Mus musculus: one gene and its partner. The protein of the gene in region 2 interacts with the protein of the main gene of each other region in a pairwise test. Links are inferred from orthologs where the notes say so. Each region holds a gene or a part of one and is shown on either strand. Other genes may lie near its edges.

Evidence for each region.
Region 1: the proteins of Nfe2l2 (region 2) and Mafg interact in binary tests that used the Homo sapiens proteins (3 or more experiments, as listed by UniProt). The link is inferred for Mus musculus from reciprocal best matches to the Homo sapiens genes NFE2L2 and MAFG.

Annotation. Positions count from the first base shown.
Region 1 is NC_000077.6:120,627,822-120,630,587, forward strand, and holds the end of Mafg (transcription factor MafG), read right to left. Parts: coding exon of another isoform or gene 2,667-2,766; intron 2,196-2,666; coding exon of another isoform or gene 2,165-2,195; exon of another isoform or gene 2,160-2,164; intron 2,061-2,159; coding exon of another isoform or gene 2,033-2,060; coding exon 1,997-2,032; intron 1,916-1,996; coding exon 1,463-1,915; 3' UTR 527-1,462; downstream 1-526. UniProt on the Homo sapiens protein: Since they lack a putative transactivation domain, the small Mafs behave as transcriptional repressors when they dimerize among themselves.
Region 2 is NC_000068.7:75,701,805-75,706,015, forward strand, and holds the start of Nfe2l2 (nuclear factor erythroid 2-related factor 2), read right to left. Parts: upstream 2,860-4,211; 5' UTR 2,605-2,859; coding exon 2,560-2,604; intron 1-2,559.

The DNA.
Region 1 (2,766 bases), on a different chromosome or scaffold from region 2:
CAGTGACACCTTGGTCCCTGCAATGTCACCACCCAGGGCCAGAGGTGGTGGATGTGGAAGCAGCGTGGGGGGCCGATAGCTCCCAACTTCACTTACTCTGCCACTGCCTTAACCCAAGCCCTAGACCCACAATGCCAAGCAAAGGCTCAGAGGGACCACGTGGCAGAGGAATGGAGAAGTGCAGCAGAAGGTAAGCCGCAGGCAGGCCCCGGTACCCCAGGGGAGTACATCCTGCCCAGGTCCAGCAAGCCCGCAGAAGCAAAACCACAACAAAACCCAAAAAAAAAAAAAAAAAACCCAAATACGCACACACACAAAACACAGGGACAGCCACAGGTCAAAGGTCACCAGAAGCACCAGCACTTTACGGCTGCACAAAACCTCACCAGGCACGGACAACACCACGGCACCGGCAAGACGGAAGCAGGAAGGGAAGAGGAGTAAGTCACTTTCGGTACAATTGCAAAAGAGATATCAAAGAGGACGGCCTCCGGTAGGCTCGCAGCTTGGCTTTTTTTTTTTTTTCTTTTTTTAAACTAAGTTTTATAAGTAATGTCTGATAACTCTGTGTATAAAAACTAAACTCCAACAGCCACAGCGCTGTCCCCAGGTTTACAAGAAAGGGATTTTTTTTTTAAACTAGCAAAGTTTCTACTATACTTTCTTCCCTTTTCCATGTATACGGTCAAATGTTTTTTTTGTTTTTGTTTTTGTTTTTTAAGACAATTTTATAAATACTCTGCAGCTTTTTTTTTTCGTTTTAGCTCTTAAACATATAATTTAATAACTCCGTAAAAGGAACTTCTCTTTTAAATAAAGGGCTATATAACCACACAAATAGGTCATGTAAACAGTGACACCGGACCCATCGGACACACAGACACACCTTCCACCCACACTCATAACCGGCGATTCGGTCTTGTCCGGTGCACTGTGCCAGGCTCCAGCACCATGGTTCCTGCCCCAGTGCCCAGGCTGGTGGCCTATTCACCCAGGGGCGTCAAGACATAACCACTTTTCAGGGCAGAGCCCATCTCTTCCTTCTGGATTAAGCTGAGAGCCCCACTGGACTTCTGAAAGGAAAGCGCTCAAATCCCACTGCAGACCACCAGGGAGACAAGGGCAGCCCCAAGACCAGTACACTTGCCCACGTGCACTCTCGTCCACTCCCACAGCGCCCACTCTGGACTCCTAGCCTGCACGGCCTTGGTACAAAGGGGTTAAGGGCAACCCAACATCACTGTTGAACTGGCTGATCCCAACGTACGAAACACAGGCGTGACAACGAAGATGATCAAGGGGCTCAGCCCAGTGCCCCTGGGTGCAGGTTGTGCTTTGCAGGGAAGGAAACAGGGAAGGGAGAGGAGAAAGGAAGGGAAATGAAAGGAAGAGGGACGGGGCTGCCAACTCTGCCACGCACCTAGTGGCCCCTCAAAGACCTGCCTGGCAACTGCACGTGTCCCTATGACCGAGCATCCGTCTTGGACTTTACTATTGTGATGACGCTGGTGGCAGCCACCTTGCCAGGAACCAGGGGCCCCAGGCCAGCAGCAAGGGGACCCCGAGCTGGGGCCACAGGGCTGCGGGCCACGGTCCTGGCAAAGTTCTGCAGGGCCTCGTACTTGGAGCGCAGGGCATCGAGCTCCAGCTTCATGCTGGCATTCTCCGAGGCCAGCTTCTCCACCTCCTGCTGGAGCTCCGCCTTCTGCTTCTCCAGCTCCTCCTTCTGTGTCACCCGCTTGACGCGGCAGCTGGCCGCGTAGCCCCGGTTCTTCAGTGTGCGCCTCCGCTGCTTCAGCTGGATGATCTCTTCCTTGGAGAGGCCTCGCAGGTGCTGGTTCAACTCTCGCACCGACATGGTTACCAGCTCCTCGTCGGTCAAGCTGGTGCCATTCTCGCCTGGCTCCCGCTTCACCTGGAGTGGCACAGCACACAGGGTCATGGCAGAGTAGGCATGCCCAGCCCGACGCACCCCAAGCCCAGCCTCTCTACTCACCTTTAAGGCCTTGTTTCCTTTATTGGGGGTCGTCATAACCCGGGGGACACAGTGAGCAGGCACTCTGCAAGACACAGAGCATAGGTCAGGACCCTGAGACTCTTTTACACCCCAACAGGAAGCTTGCTGCCTGGTGCTCAGCCCACAGAACCTTGCCCCTCACCTGACCTGAGCTTGGCTGCTTCAGAAGGCCCTGTCCCTAGAGAGCCAGGTGGGAGGTCGGGAGATTTTTTTCCCAGGGAAGAAGCAGGAGCAATGTGAAGGCAGAAGACAAAGGGAGCAGAGAGAGATTAGAAGGTCTGGGCTGCAGGAGGGGCAAGCCTAGAAGGAAGCTGAGCTTTAAAAATAACCCCAGTGCTGCCCCAGAGCGCCCTGTTCCTGGCGAGTCATGCTGACTCAGCGGATCGCCTCCCTCCCTTCCTGAGCCGTTCTCCCGGTCCTTTGGCCAGCCAGCAGTTCCCCAGGAGACCCACTACTGGGACCAACAGCAAGCAAGGATCAGCCAGGGACCCTGTATTCCAAGGTCCTACTTCCCATATATGTTCCCTAAGCTGGCCCAGGACAAAAGAAAGCCCTTTCTCCCTCTAGGACTTAGGTAGGAGGTTGCTTCCTGCCTCAGTCTGGCAGAGGATAAGGTTTGTTCTAACTGGCTGACTGGGAATCCTCTCACCTTCCAGGTAGCAGGCAATCCGGCTGGGAGGAGCTGAGCCCAGGCCCCTCCAGTCCTCCCCGTCCATCTCCTTTACAGATGGGGTAACCATCCTGTGGCT
Region 2 (4,211 bases):
AACCTTAACAAGTCTCTAGCACGGAAATTCTTAGTTTTCCCTGCATCTTCAAGCTAACCCTGGTTCAAGACAAAATTAAGAATGATGTATTTATGAAAATCTTTTAAATATGCTGGATCATGACCGAGGAAAGGTCTAGAAATAAGGGTAACTACCCAAGTGTTCCCTTTTCCTGTAGCTTTGCTGAGCGTGACGCATCCTAAGTAAAAATAAATGTATATCTGGCTTTCAACGCTTCCTGTCAGTTCTAAAAGAGGGTTGTTCCTCAGCATTGTGTAAGGACCGCTGTTAGTACAAATGGAATTCCAAAGTGGTCCTAGTTATTTCTAAGGCAGAGAGACTGATGTAGCTGTGTTTATCCACCTACACATGGCTTTTCTGTAGTGTCTCAGAGATTCAGAGATGTGTCACCTATCTAGAAAGTCAAGTTTTTCTTAAGTTGTTCTCTCTCCCTTCATTCTGGAGAGGCCAATCTCGAATGTGTCTTTAAAAATAATCTCATATGTCTTATTCAAGATCAACTTCATCTCTTGCCTTCAACAAAGTATTTTATCTTTCCTAGACACCAGTGGGAAAGTAATGGATGCCCACCCCCGCAACCCGGTGCTGAAGAACCATGGAGTCTACTAACCATGAGCACTGTTAAAACAAAATGCTACAGTGCCACAGCTGAATCACTCTCACCATGTCTTTAAATCTGTAACTCAATTCAAATCCTTCTGGACTATCAAACAATGCTTTTTAGCTGAATTATGATCTTAAATGATTTCTTCAAGGTCTTCAAATATTTAAATCAATGTCTGGAAAGAACTAGAAATGTCCGGCTAACAAAGCTTTCACACGGCAGAGAAAGAAAGCAGCACAGCTGCCATTTTTGTAAATGAAATGTTATTCTACACAGGAAAGAGAAAAAAAAAAACTTTACAGTCAAAGTTCATTTGCACCGTGTATCCTGTGGCCAGGAAGCATTCCTTCTGATTACTCATGAAGAGCAGAAATCAGAAAATACAGTTTACTTATTCATCCTAATGAAAACCAGGCTACAACCCCAATCATTTCGGGGCCAAGTTCAAGGGAGGGGTAGAATTAATGCACTGTCAGTAACTTAAAAACTGACACCAGGACCTTCCAGGTCAGCCGAAAGCTTTACATTTAAACTAACTTACTCTTTACCGAGTTATACATTCCCTGGAGTTAAATGGTTTCTTTTCCTAAAAATCCAATTCCGACTCTTTTGTGTGTGTGTGTGCGCGCGTGTGTGCCAACATAAGCATTTACTTCTTTAAAACTGCCTGAAGTATAACCAGAAACTGGTTTTCACTTACATAACAATCTTCAAAACTTAGCAAGAAAGTGTTATGAAACGCAAGCGTCCCATTCGCTGTCTTCAAAGTGCGCAACATGCTAAGAAAATTGAGGCAGAATCTCAAACAGCAAAGAAAAATGTATTAAGGACACAAGCGAGGGATAATAAATAAATGTCTAAAAGCAAAACTTCTGCAACAGTATAAAAAGCAACAAATTCTAATCTATTACTCTTACCCTTGACGGCAAGGACCAGAATATCCTGCCTTATACATTTTGGTATTACAACTCTGTAATGCTAAATCCAAAGACAAAGCCGCCCAGGGGAAAATAACAATTGCGCAACTGATCAACAGCTCCAACTTGTCCCTTGGCCCCAGAGCAGCGAGGTTTGCACGCTATAGAGCAGGAAAGGGCCAACCGAGGGCCTCTGTGACTGCCAACTGGCCGATGTAAGCCAGCCAGAAGCCACAGCCTCGCACACTACGTGGGGCCCCGCGGGTCACCATACTCAGAACACACAGCCCAGCATGGGGCCCACTCGGACCTCGGAGCCCGCCGCCCAGGTCTGCACGTCCTTGCGCCCGGCGCGAGGCCATTCCCGGGTTCCCAGGCTGAAGGAGCGTGCGGAGCCCTGCCGGCAGGCCGCCCGTCGGGGCGCCAGAGCACGAGGGCCACCCGGTGACTTTCTCCTCCGCCCCCGGAGGGCTGGGCTTTTCTGGATCAAGACGGACAGGCGTGATCTTACAGACCAGCTCTCGGGCTGAGGCCGTAGACGGCCGAGCTCACCAAGTCGTAGAACGGGGGTTGGGGAGGGCTTCGGGCGGACGCCGAGGAGAGACCTCAGCTCCCCCGAGCGCGGCCCCGTGACTAGGCACATTTTTACCGGCACCGAATCAGGGAAACTACGCTGCCCCGGAAAAGGCCGGGCGGCGCCGGTTTAGACCGCCAGCATCCACCCCCCTCCCGCCTCTGCGCCTCCCACCCAGCGAGGTGGTGGTGTCTCTGCCTGGCCCCACGAAGTCAGAGCTTCCTCCACACCCCAACCTCGCCGCCCCTGGAGACCTCAGGCTCGGACCCCACTCTCGTCGCGGCCCCAACATCCTCCGTTGCCCTCCCAGCTCGGCGGGGCAGTTCCCAGGCCCTGCCGTCGTAGTCCTGGCTCAGACTGTCCCTCCCTCCCGGAGCCACTATCCCCTCGAGCTCCTGCCGGCTTCTTGGCACAGCCCAGGGGCCCGAAGGTTGGGGCAGCACCTGCTGGGACTGTAGTCCTGGCGGTGGCAACTCCAAGTCCATCATGCTGAGGGCGGACGCTGTGGTAGGGCTCCCCGACGGCGAGGCTACTTGCAGCAGAGGTGAGGCGGCGGCAATGGCTAGTCCGAGCAGCGGAGAACTAGGAGATAGCCTGCTCGCTGGAGTGGCAGGCCAGCCTTAGTCCGCCCCGCCCCCGCCCCCTGGGGGCGGAACAAGGACCTAGGGACGGGACAAGAACTTAGAGGCGGAGAAAAGGCTAGGGCAAGAGGCAAGGGCCAGAGGCAGGACAAGGGCATGGAGGCGGGGTAAGGGGCGGGGCAAGAGCTTGGAATCGCGTACAGGGGCAGGGCAAGGACCCGAGGGCCCCCCGCAAAGGCCTAGGGCGGGGCAAGGGGAGGGGGGGACAAGACGGGGGCCAGTGGAAGGAGCAAGAGCCCGAGGGCGGGGCATGGACCTGAGTGCTTCCGGCCGGAGTTCCCGCGTTCCCCTCGACCCCCCACTGTTGATCCTCCTCTCGCTGTCCGGGGCATGGCGGAGTCAGGTGGGCTGAAGTCGCACGGGGGGCGGAGCGCGAGCAGGAGGCCTTCGGCCCCCCCAGTCCTCTGTAGGACAGCACCCCCTTGCTAGAGATTAGCAGCTGTTTGCCGAAGGTCGCTCCAGCCCTGGCTCTTTGAAGCAGTTTAAACAGTTGGTGCAAGCACACCGGGAGCCCCGGCCCGTGCGCTGCTATCGGAGCTGCCACTCCCTGATTTGGACCTGCAGAACCTTGCCCGCTTTATCTCGCTCCACCGGCTGACTGTGGCGCCAGTTTCGGGGTTAGGGCTCTGAGCTGGGACCCGGACTTTGCAAGAGGCCAACTGCCCTCTGGCCCCAGGTCCCATTCAGTTGCTGGTGCTCAAACACCTCTGCCCCAGGGAGATGGATGAGTCCACGCTGCAAACTCGTGCTCGCTTACTCGAAGGCCCTCCACTTCTCCCACGTGCCCTGGGCTCGGGGCCCAAGCGGTCACTCAGTATCACTTCATCCACCCAGAGCCCAGCAAGCGGGCACAGCTCTAACAGAATCACCGAAGTGGATTCTAAGACTCTCAGGGTTCCTTTACACGTACTTACTCTATTTGGGAATTTTGAGGTATGATCTCATAAGGCCCCACCTCTCAAGCTGTTTTTAGAGCAGCGTTTCTCAACCGTCGTAATGCAGCGACCCTTTAATATAGTTCGTGTTGTGGTGACCTCCAACTAGAAAAGTATTTTTGCTGCTACTTCATAACTAATTTTGTTGCTATAAATTGTAATGTAAGTATCGGATGTGCAAAATATCTGAGATGCTTGGGGTGGCTCTCCACAGGCTGAGAACTGTACCATAGACTCTGCCACTTGGGTTTGGTGGTGGTGGTGGTGGTAGTGACTGTTTTCACAACGTTCATTCCCAAACATACTTCTTTAACTGCCCCCGAAAAAAAATCCAATTTCTAAAATAGTTATATGGGCTTAGAAAAAAAATCGAGGGATGTTTTAATGTGTTAATAGTTGAAAACCCAGAGTATTTTTATCTTTCTCTTTGTTGTTTTAAGTATGTTTGAACACAAATATCTTCTTTTGAATTTTTTTTTTTTTTTTTGGTTTTTTAAGACAGGGTTTTTCTGTGTAGCC